Macaca fascicularis: one gene and its partners. The protein of the gene in region 1 interacts with the protein of each later gene in a pairwise test. Links are inferred from orthologs where the notes say so. Each region holds a gene or a part of one and is shown on either strand. Other genes may lie near its edges.

Region 1 (2,937 bases):
ACTAAAAATACAAAAAATTAGCCGGGCGTGGTTGTGGGCGCCTGTACTCCCAGCTACTCGGGAGGCTGAGGCAGGAGAATGGCGTGAACCCGGGAAGCGGAGCTTGCAGTGAGCCGAGATCGCGCCACTGCACTCCAGCCTGGGCGACAGAGTGAGACTCCGTCTCAAAAAAAAAAAAAAAAAAAAAAAAAAAGAATTGACTATCTCTTAATTTCTTTAGTTCTTTATCTCATCTATTTTACTGCTCATTTTTCACATTTCTAAGTAAATACTTATTCCACTGCTGTTATTATCCCAATTCACAAAATAGAATGGATTTCCCAATCTGAATGAAACACAAGACTCTTACTACTCAACTATATACACGGCACTATGTGTGACTACTGTCATTCATAAACTTGGATGCTGAAGTTCATTCAACCATTCCTTAAAAGGAACACTTGAACAATTCCAAAAGAGAACAAAGATAAATCTCCAAGTCATCCAATAGAACAGAAACCTACTACTGAGAATGCTGACTGCTCTCTTCAAACAGAGTGAAGAATGGGCCTCACATCACACGAGGCAGGGAAAGCTGCTGGACACGGTCCTTGAAGGTGCACTAGCCCAGCCCCCCTCCCACTGGCCTTGGCTGCAACTCATGTTCAGACTCCCTCTTCATCCTCTCTCAAAGCTGCTCCCTCCTGTCTCAAAGCTGCTTCACGCAGGGATGGGAAGAAAAAGCGAACTCTTGCACTGACCTTGATCACATACTCAAGGACTTTCACATAGCTGGTTTCAGCGAGGGCCCTTGGACCCCACAGGAACTCATAGCGTGCAGGATCACTGTAGGGCACCTGCCGGTACTCCAGGTACTTTTCCTGCACCAAATCTTGGGTGAGCAGCTTCCTGGGCTCCCCATAGGCACTGTGCTCCCTCCCATCATACACCTCCATCACATTCAGCTCTTCCCAGATTTCCTCCTCAGGAGCACGGCCGCCCTCCATTGCAATCATAACCAGGATGATTATCAGGAAGCCTGTCTTGGGCATGATCTGATTATCACCCAGCAGGCCGTCATAGGAGAGCCCCAGGCAGGTGACAAGGACATAGGAGTGGCCGGTGGAGTCTGCTTCCTTCACGTCAATGCCAAAGACCAGTTGCAAGGACTCAGAGGCTTTGCCGAAGATCACAGGAAAGCAGTGCTTGTAATTTTTGATGACTCTCTCCAGCATTTCTGCCTTTGTGACCGGCTCCCTGGCTCGATACTTGAGGAGCAGAAAACGAACCAAATCAGCCACCTTCTTAGTGAGTACTGCTCGGAACAAGGACTCCAGGACACGCGAGGTGCTTGGCCCTTCTTCTTCATGGCTGCTGGAACTCTCATTGGGTTGCCTCCAGCGAGGGAAGTTGATGGTAGTGGGAAAGGCGGAGGCTCCCTGAGGAGTCTGGGGGGGATCTGTTGACCCAGCAGTAGGCACCTCCTCCAGGGTGCCCAGGACCAGAGGAGAGGAGGAGGAGGCGGCAGCCTGCACACACACCAGCCCCAGGGCCTCTTGTTGGGCCTCAAGGGCTTCCTCAGGCTTGTAGTGCAGACTCCTCTGCTCAAGAGACATGATGACTCTGGTCAGGGCAGCAGGCAGGAGTGTACAGGAGCTGGGCAATGAAGACCCACGGGCCTGGAGAGAGAGGGAGTGTGTGAGAGGCCTCAGCTGAGAACTGAACCTTGGAGACTCTAATAAAGGCCTACTTACAGATCTTCTCCTTGGTGCTCCTCTGTGGCCTCCAGGGAATCCTGTCCTCCAGGTTGGCCTGTCCCCTGAAAACCTGAAGGAGGAAGTGAGAGGGCACTCAGGGTACAGCCGGCCAGCAGAGGTCGATTCTACAGGACTGACGGTAGGGAGGTGAGGCCAGACTCTGTGGAGTTCCATGTGTCCTGCGGCAGGCGGGGCCCTTGGTGTGCATTCAGGGCAAACGTTGACTGCTGGCACAGCCTGTGCGTCCTCTGCTCTGTGATCTGAGGACACTGTCTCAAACCAAGGCCTCACTGCCTGGTTCTTGGAGCTCCTGGAAGAGGAATCCACGGGCCCTCAGGGTGCAGACTGCAAGCACAGCCCTGGGCCCTCAGTGCTATTAGGAGGGTGGGCTGGACTCTGTGACATCCCCACTCTCATGCGGTGGATGATCCCCTCTGTTCTCACGCAGGGCCCTTGCATTTTTCCTGGCAGGACCTGGATCCCACCCTTTTGCTGGTCTGAGAAATCCAAATAAAGAGCTCACATCCATGATAAGGAACAGAAAGACAGGAGGGGACCCACATCTGGCCACTCGGGCCTAGGTCCTCGGGGAAGGACAGCAAGAGATATCAAAATTCATTGGAATTAATGTGTCCTGGGTGAGGCGCCTGTTTGGTCCTCACCTTGACTCCTGGCAGGGCCTGGGACTCTCCCTCTACTGACCTGAGTGAAGCCTTCTCAGATCAAGGCCTCCCCCTCCCTGACATCAATGATCCCAAGATAAGAGAGGGACCTTGGCAGACGACCCAGCCCATGCTCTCTGGGGTGACAGCAGGGGCAGAGCTGATTTCTGTGCGGTCTCTGTCAGTGTTCTGGCCCTGGGGTATCCTCAATCCTCCCTCATGTTCCTCACCCAAATGCATGGCAGATCGTAGGACTGCTCTGTCTTTAGACCAGATGGGGGTCCCTATGTTGACCCGAGTCACCCTCTGAGAACAAGGTCCTCACCTCTCTGAGATCTGGAAACAGGAGTAAGAAGATGCCACACCCTGGGTGAAGTGTCCAGGGCTGACCCCTTTGGTTCTGGGGTGAGGATTCCAATAGCCTTGTCTGGCTCACTCATCTTTATTCCTGCCAAAGCCTGTGCTTCCTCAACCCCCAATTCCCTGAGATGGGTAGACATCCCCCCTTTACCCCAAGACCCCATCTCCTTGCGGGCTCC
Region 2 (4,111 bases), on another chromosome or scaffold:
AGGCCAGGAGAGGTGAAGGGATTTGTTTAGGGGCGGAGCTGAGATTAGGTCTGGAAGATTCCAGAAAGTAGAGGGAGTGCAGGATTGGTATTGAAGCCGCATATTTTATGGATGCATAAAAAAGTGATTTTCAGGGCCGGGCGCGGTGGCTCAAGCCTGTAATCCCAGCACTCTAGGAGGCCGAGACGGGCAGATCACGAGGTCAGGAGATCGAGACCATCCTGGCTAACATGGTGAAACCCCGTCTCTACTAAAAAATACAAAAAAACTAGCCGGGCGAGGTGGCGGGCGCCTGTAGTCCCAGCTACTCGGGAGGCTGAGGCAGGAGAATGGCGTGAACCCGGGAGGCGGAGTTTGCAGTGAGCTGAGATCCGGCCACTGCACTCCAGCCTGGGCAACAGAGCAAGACTCCGTCTCAAAAAAAAAAAAAAAAAAAGTGATTTTCAGAGAAAGATGCATTCTTCCCACTTTTTATAAGACTGAGAAAATGACACTTGTCTGTGGCAAACTATTAAAATATTAGAATTAGGATACTATTGTTAGCAAAAGGGAAAACAATAATAATACTTAGAATACTTGGCTGGGTGCAGTGGCTCACACCTGTAATCCCAGCACTTTGGGAGACCGAGGCAGGTGGATCGCCTGAGCTCAGGAGTTCGAGACCAAGCTGGGCAACATGGTGAAACCTCGTCTCTACCAAAAATACAAAACCTTAGCTAGGCATAGTGGTGTATGCCTGTGGTCTCAGCTACTTGGGAGGCTGAAGTGGGAGGATCACTTGAACCTGGGAGGGGGAGGTTGCAGTGAGCCAAGATTGTGCCACTGCACTCCAACCTGGGTGGCAGAGTGAGACCCCGTCTCAAAAAAAAAGAAAAAAAATTAGAATACTCTTATTAGTTTGTATTTGAGATACTTTCAGAACACTAAAAGGAAAAGGTGGGGGCTGGTTGCGCCCTGCTGTATACACATTCACACACACACCATAGTGTCTGTATCTGGGCTTCTGTTGCCTGGAATTCTCTTCCTCTTTCCTCTTTCTTCTGTTTTCCTTTTTTTTCCACCTCTGACTTTGAGGCCCCCAGAGCCAGGCCCTTCAGTGGGCCGGAGCTTCAGAAGGTGGCTCCAAGGCCCTCGGACGGCCCCAGAGTCTCTTCCTCTGGGGTTGCCTAGGGAGGCGGCACCCTGGGCGGTTGATGCCTCCCTCAAGAGGCTTGGCCAGCAGCCAGGGGAGTTAAACCTCAGCGGAAGGGCTGGGCTACCGGGCTGGGCCCAGAGCGGGGCATTCGGAGGAGCTGCAGAATCAATCATCTGAGAACCTTGGAGGGTGGATGGTGCCCCTTTTCCAGATGAGAAAACTGAGGCTCGCAGGGGAGAAGTAGCTGCCTCTGGCGGCGTGGCTTCTGGCTGCAGGATGCTCGTGGAGTTCGTGGTGACCCTAGGCCTGTGTCTCGATCTCCTTTGCTGAACTTGAACAGGAAGATGGCAGTGGGGGCCAGTGGTCTAGAAGGAGATAAGATGGCCGGTGTGTGTGTGTTGGGGGTCTGTGTTTGTTAATCTGTCTGTCTGCACAGGGGTCTTTAGAAAACTGTTTAAAGACAGTTGTTCAACTAACCACATGTAGGTCTCATTGAATTCATTTGTGCCAAGTACCTTACTGCCTCTGTGTCAGGCTAGCAAATTTGGGTTCCAACAGGTGTAACTTGGTTCTTGGCGGGCTGGAGGTGGGGGGAGTGGGGTGTAACAAAAAATCTCTACTAACACTGTGGTTTGTAAGCCACCAAACGTTAAACAGATATACAGCATATCTGTGCTATTAACGTTTTGTGAGGAGGGCTGGTGACGGTGGCTCAGGCCTGTAAATCCTAGCACTTTGGGAGGCTGAAGCAGCTGGATTTCTTGAGCCCAGGAGTTTGACACCAACCTGGGCAACACGGTGAAAACCCATCTCTACAAAAAATTTAAAAGTAGCTGGGTCTGGTGGCACGCACCTGTAGTCCTAGCTACTTGGAGGATCGCTTGAGTCCAGGAGTTCAAGGCTGCAGTGAGCTGTGATTGCACCACTGTACTCCAGCCTGGGCGACTGAGCCAGACCCTATCTCTAAAAGTAAATAAATAAATAAACATGTCATGAGGGGGATGATAATTAGGGAAACCACGTCTACAGTGGCTCCCTGATGTGAGTTGGAGTAGATGATGGAAAGAGGTTGGAAGGTGTCAGCTGTCTAACGTGGTGTGAAAAGTCTGAAGACAGCACGTGCTGTGCGGTGCTATGCACGTCCCCCTGCCTCGGTCACATGTCCTCTTCTGCAGAGGCATTTAGTGAGGCCCCTGGGGATGCCAGGAGAGCTCCTGCCCTCCGAAAACTTCTGGTCTGGTGGGGGCAGCAGAGCAGACAGCCACTGTGGCTGCCAGCCACCGGGACAAGCATTTCGAGAGGTGTGTGCCTGCCTGTCGGCTAAATCCTGGGCCTGTGGCCTGATCAGCAAGACAGCTGTAGTTCTTGTATTCTGGAAGTTTAGGAGTCAATGTGAATACATTTTTAGAAAGTAAATGAACAGCAGAAATGATGTAAACACGGGAGGTGACTAATCATGCCTGGGGCAATCTGGAAAGGCTTCTGGGAGGACTTGGCATTTCCCTGGCCCTCTTCAACCCACAACAACTCCATAAAAAGCGGGGGCTACCGTTGTCCTTGTATTCCAGCTAAGGAACCCACAACTCAGAGAGGTGAGGTGAGTTGCCCAAGGTCACACAGCTTCTAAGGGACAGAGCTGGGATTGACCTGGTTTGATGTGACTCCAGGTCAGGGCAGGGCGAGGTGTGTCCTGTCTACCCAGACTCAGATCTGCTGCCTGTGCTTCAGTTATCTGGGGGCTTTCCTTCTCTTGGTGACTACTTGACCCAAACCCTGAGATGCTCAGTCTTTTGAATTTTAACATTCCAAGATCCTGCCTGCTCTGATTCCCAGTTTCAGGATTCTCAGTGCAAGGTTCCCAGCAACGTGGAGCCCCCCGAGGATCTTTCCTGAGTCGCTCAGGACGGCCACACGGCGGGGTCTCTGGAGCTGGAGTCTGGGCTCCCTGCAGCCTGCTCCTCCACACAGCCTAGATGCGGCCCACATGGGGTCTAGATGGCGCCTGGGCCAGAAGCAGCCTGGTTTTAGGGCCAAAGAGGCAAAACGAGCAGTCTCTGACCTACTCCGTTAGGCAGGTGTTGAGACAAGTAGGATGTGGCCACTGGAGACCCCTCTGTCGGGGCCCTGCCCTGGCCCTCTACTGTGGGACTGTTTTTTTTGCCTTCCGGCGAGAGGAGAGGTGGAAGGTGGGGCCTGGGAGCGACCCCGCCGCTCTGGGCCTTGCTTGCTGATCGGTGTGATGGCACCGTTAGAGCCAGCGGACACAGGCTGAGGAGGACCGAGGTCAGCAGCCAGTGAGACGAGGAAGTCATCCCTCCACGGGAGGGGCTTCTGCATATGTCATTTTTGTTGTTGTTTAATACATTTACTCTAGCAAATATGAAGGAGGCGTTATGCTGCCTGCCATACACAGTAAGCAAACTCTGCTCCTCCCCGTTCTACCTGCGTGGCCTCAGCTGAGACAAGATCTCTCGGAGCCTCAGGTTTTCTTTTATTTCATTAAAAAAAATATGTCTTTTTTTTTTTTCTTAGAGACAGGGTCTTACTCTGTCACCCAGGCTGGAGTGCAGTGGTGTGATCATAGCTCACTGCAGCCTTGACCTGGGCTCAAGCCATCCTCTGCCCTCAGCCTCCTGAGTAGCTGGGATGACAGGCATGCACCAGCATACCTGACTAATGTTTAATTTTTTTGTAGAGACGGGGTCTCACTATGTTGCCCAGGCTGGTCTTGAACCCCTGGCTTCAAGTCATCCTCCTACCTTGGCCTTCCAAAGTGCTAGGAGTACAAGGTTGAGGCACCATGCCTGGCTGAGCCTCAGATTTTCTTTCTGTTAGACGGGCCGATGCCTGCTCAGCTGTGGCCTGGCTCCAGGCTGCTGTGTCTTCAAGCCCATGGGATGCAGGGACCAGGCTGGGGTGACCAACACTCCCCCACACCCAGTTTGCCTGGGAGTGAGGAGTTTCTGGGGATAAGGG
Region 3 (4,398 bases), on another chromosome or scaffold:
TTCCCACTTCCCTGCCCCGCTGCTGATAAGCCTCTATTTCTCATTTGAGGCAGACCTCAAATGTCCTCTTTTTTTTTTTTTTTTTCCAAGACGGAGTCTTGCTCAGTTGCCCAGGCTAGAGTGCGGTGGCGCGATCTGGGTTCACTGCAAGCTCCGCCTCCCGGGTTCACGCCATTCTCCTGCCTCAGCCTCCCGAGTAGCTGGGACTACAGGTGCCCGCTACTACGCCTGGCTAATTTTTTTTTTTGTATTTTTTGTAGAGACGGGGTTTCACCATGTTAGCCAGGATGGTCTCGATCTCCTGACCTCATGATCCGCCCGTCTCGGCCTCCCAAAATGCTGGGATTACAGGCGTGAGCCACCACGCCCGGCCTTTTTTTTTTTTTCCCCCAGAGATAGGGTCCCATTCTGTCACCCAGCCTGGAGTGCAGTGATGCAATCATAGCTCACTGCAGCCTCAACCTCCTGGGCTCAAGCCATCCTCCTGCCTCAGCCTCCTGCAGAGCTGGGACTATAGATGCACACCAGCGCACCTGGCTCTCCACTGATTTCTAATGACTAAAAGGACGACTTTGATCCTTTTCTCGGTCCCTTGCAACAAAAAAATAACGAAACCTACAGGAATAAGGGCCTACATACCTGAGGCTTCTTAATGCATCTGTATGGTGGGGATGGGAGAGAGCAGGAGTGTCTACAGAAGGCACCTTTGTCCTCTTTCCCTTGGAGGATCCTAAATGATCCTCCCCAATTTGCCGTTGAGAAAGACCAGGCCCTTCTCCAGCTGCCTCTCCCGGGCCTCAGGGTCCTCTAGCTTCTGATGTTTTCGGAATTCACGGCGGATGGAGGCAAAGTAGAAGTCTCGATCAGTGTAGCGAAGCTGTCGGCCCTGGCGCAACAGAGCCCGATAGAGACTCAGCACCGCTGCTCGGCTCCACCGGGCCATGGGGGACTGGCAGGGGCTGGGTGTCACACTATAAACAGAAGGAAAGACATACAAGCCTAGTATCAGAATTAATAACAAAAGGACCTGTAGAGACTATAAGACATTTTTAATCCAAGTTCCAGAGACCCCCTAGATCACCTTATGACTTAATGGCAAGACTAGGACTAGAGACCCCGGCCTCTGGATGCCCATTCTGGAAACATACAGGTTGTGGTTCACCAGGGCTCAAATCCTGGCCCTGCCACTTACGTGCCATATGACTTTGGGCAAAGGACTGAATCCCCACTGAGCACCAGCGTCCTCACTTACAAAATGGAGATTAGGATATTATGGCAATAGTACCTACCACATAGGGTTATATTTTGAGAACTGTGCATGTAAAGAACGGTAATACAACTTCACCACAGGGGGTGATCTAGGAGGGCTGAAGACAAGCACTCAGCCATACTTAAATCCTGGCATCAGCACTTGCGAGCTGCACTACCGTGGGCAAGTCTCCTAACCTCTCTGTGCCTGTCTCAGTTCCTCATCTATAAAGTGAGGATAAAAATCTTATTTTGCCCATATGGTTGGCATAAGCACTAGATGAATTTAATGTATGTGAACATGTTTAGAACAGCACTTGGCACACACTAAGCACTCTATCAACAGCAGCTGTTATTAGTACCACCTAGCCAGGTTTGTAGATGCTCAATAAACAATTACATTTAAGTATAAACTGCCACTGCCTTCCTTCAGTAACAATAAACCCTTACACAAGCGTATCTGTAAAGTGCTTTGTTGCCCATTGTCACATTTACACTAACAATCTAGGAGGTGGTCAGGGTTCTTAGTAACAGTAAATGCTTATTGCACTATATTGCACTATACACAATGTACAATGTTTGAAGCATGTCTCACGTAACAACTCATTCTGTCAGCTACCCTAGGGTCAACATTACCCCATTTTAAGTGGAGGAAACAATCTCCCAGAGGGAAGTAACTTGCCCGCGGGCCCACAACTGTCAAGGGGAGGGCTGCACTCCTGACCCCAACTCTGCCTGCCTCTGGAATGAGTTACCCTTTGCTGGAGCCGGACCATGTGTACAGCACTTCTGGGTGCTCCGCGAACTTTCCTAGCACAGCGCTTGGCACATACAAGGGGCTCAAAATTATGTTTAACGAAGGAGAGAATTTCACAACGTCCCTATGTGGAAAAAATGATCACCTCCGTTTCAGAAATAAAGAAATGACACCGAGTGGGGGAAGTATTTGGCTGGAAAAAAAGATCGGACTTTGGGCCCAAAGTCCGCTAGCCCTTAGCCTCCGGCCTTGCTAACTTCCTGCGCAAGCCTGAGCAAGCCACCATCTCTGTCCATTTTTCCTCAACTGTTTAAGAGCTCCCTCGGCCTTCCGATGTAGAAAATCAACAGAAGTGTTTGATGAGGCAAAAGCCGACTGTCACGGCGAGGGCTGTAACTACAAGGTCGCTAGGAGAGTGGGCGGCTGAGCCCCAGCCCGTCTGCACTTCCCCAACCCTGGGGGCCGGGCCGGGGTGCGGAGGCCCAGAGGCCAGGGCAGCCCTGCTCCGGGACCCGGGAAGTCTCCGAGGTTGGGGCGGGGCGGGGCCGCCAAGGGGCCTCCCAGGGGAAAGCCCAGGACGGGATGGGGCGAGACCACCGGCTGCAGGCCGGTCTCCTGGGTCCGGGCCGCATGCGAGGCGCCGGCAGCAGCCTGAGAGGAGGCGCCGCAACCTCCCGGCCACCCAGCAGCCGCCGGTCCTCATTCCTCCCCTCACTCACCCGCAGGCCGCGCGCGCTACCACTCCGCAGGACTCGCCTCCGGCCGGGTACCTCTCCCCGGGTCACCCATCAACATGGCCCCTTCACTTCCGGGACACGACCTTGCGCACTGAGCTACGAAGGGGCTGAAGGGAGCACGAGGGCGGGCGGAGGCGGAGGGACTTCCGGTCTCCTCCAAGCTCTCTCTCGGGCCCCGCCCCCTGCGCATGATTCCGCCCCCCAATCCTGAGCCCCGCCTCCGTGTGTGACCTCACCAAGGGACGGGCCTGCAGAGGCCACTCGCGCCCTGTCCCTAGAGGATTCCGCTGTCTGGGTCCGGCTGTGGGTACCGGGGTGGTCCCGATGCTGGCAGAAGGTTAGAGGGCAGGAGGTACCCTCGCTGTCCAACGAGGCTGCCGCACCCGCTAGGCCCCTCACCTGCTGGCAGCCCCTTAGCTTGTCCGGGGTGCCTGGCCAGCCTCCTGTACCGTCTGCTGATCTCTGGCTGGGGTCCTGGGGTACCTGAGGGAATTCTAACACTAATATTTAGAGCTCCTCCAAACCTATTTTCTCACATCGACTTCTTTTCGACTTCTTTCCTCCATGCTGTTCCTACTCCCCAGGCCGCGTGGCTTCTAGCAAACTCCTACCCTTCCTTCAAAGTGTACCTCAAATGTCCCCCTTCACTGGGAAATCTCTCCCAGCCCCTTCCTCGCTCCCTCTAATACACTCATGTGTCTTCTTTAGGCCCCACGGAAATGTCTGCACATCTTTTTTTTTTTTTGAGACGGAGTCTCGCTCTGTCGCCCAAGCTGGAGTGCAGTGGCGCGATCCTGGCTCACTGCAAGCTCCGCCTCCTGGGTTCACGCCATTCTCCTGCCTCAGCCTCCCGAGTAGCTGGGACTACAGGCGCCCGCCACCGCGCCCGGCTAATTTTTTGTATTTTTAGTAGAGACGGGGTTTCACCGTGGTCTTAATCTCCTGACCTCGTGATCCGCCCGCCTCGGCCTCCCAAAGTGCTGGGATTACAGGCGTGAGCCACCGCGCCCGGCCGTCTGCACATCTTAAGGCTCATAATCTGTTCAACAACAAAACGTATTTATTGGCGCCTACCATTTGCCAGGCACTGTAATTTATCCATTTGCTTCTCTGTCTCTCACTGGATTTGAGGACCCAGGTGGTTTCTCTGTGGAAGTCCCCTCTCCCAAGTGCCTCCCTCCGTACCTGGCTCAGCCAAGCCCAAGGCCTGGGGCTTTGGAGTCCGGGGCCACAGGGCCACTGCTAGCTCCTAGTTCCAGTTCCACCACTTAGGGACAGCTGCCCTCTGCCAAGTTTCCTAACCTCTCCCAGCCTTGGGGCTGTGGTGAGGATTAAAAGGTAATATCTACCAGGAGAGGGGTGGGCAATTACAGAATAGTCAGGCTATCAAAAGGACAAGAACCAGGAGAAGAACATGGCAGGGAAGAGCATTTCAGGCCTGCCCCCAGGTATGCCCTTAAGCTCAATGTGGTCTAGGAGCAGCAGGACGAAGGCCAGTGCTTTCGCAGCCAGGTGAGCGGGAGCTGGGAAAGAGGCCCTTATCAGAACTGGGAGGGATATGGTGGGTGCAAAGGACCCACAGCAGGGTTCGGAGCCAAGAAGTGCTGGGATCTGACTTCCCTTTCAACAGGATGCGTCTGGCTTGAGAGTAATGGA

What was found. The genes of interacting proteins can lie anywhere in the genome.
Region 2: the proteins of melanoma-associated antigen 1 (region 1) and SELPLG interact in a two-hybrid assay, tested with the Homo sapiens proteins (2 studies listed by BioGRID). The two-hybrid records come from large-scale screens. The link is inferred for Macaca fascicularis from reciprocal best matches to the Homo sapiens genes MAGEA1 and SELPLG.
Region 3: the proteins of melanoma-associated antigen 1 (region 1) and MIEF1 interact in binary tests that used the Homo sapiens proteins (3 or more experiments, as listed by UniProt). The two-hybrid records come from large-scale screens. The link is inferred for Macaca fascicularis from reciprocal best matches to the Homo sapiens genes MAGEA1 and MIEF1.

Annotation. Positions count from the first base shown.
Region 1 is NC_088395.1:159,218,399-159,221,335, reverse strand, and holds melanoma-associated antigen 1, read right to left. Parts: upstream 1,628-2,937; 5' UTR 1,596-1,627; coding exon 645-1,595; downstream 1-644.
Region 2 is NC_088385.1:115,471,796-115,475,906, reverse strand, and holds the start of SELPLG (P-selectin glycoprotein ligand 1), read left to right. Parts: upstream 1-1,296; 5' UTR 1,297-1,479; coding exon 1,480-1,522; intron 1,523-4,111. UniProt on the Homo sapiens protein: A SLe(x)-type proteoglycan, which through high affinity, calcium-dependent interactions with E-, P- and L-selectins, mediates rapid rolling of leukocytes over vascular surfaces during the initial steps in inflammation.
Region 3 is NC_088384.1:12,142,734-12,147,131, forward strand, and holds the start of MIEF1 (mitochondrial dynamics protein MIEF1), read right to left. Parts: upstream 2,816-4,398; 5' UTR 2,725-2,815; intron 972-2,724; 5' UTR 944-971; coding exon of another isoform or gene 731-943; 5' UTR 640-730; intron 1-639. Other genes in the region: MIURF (mitochondrial ribosome and complex I assembly factor AltMIEF1), read right to left, coding at 731-943. UniProt on the Homo sapiens protein: Mitochondrial outer membrane protein which regulates mitochondrial fission/fusion dynamics.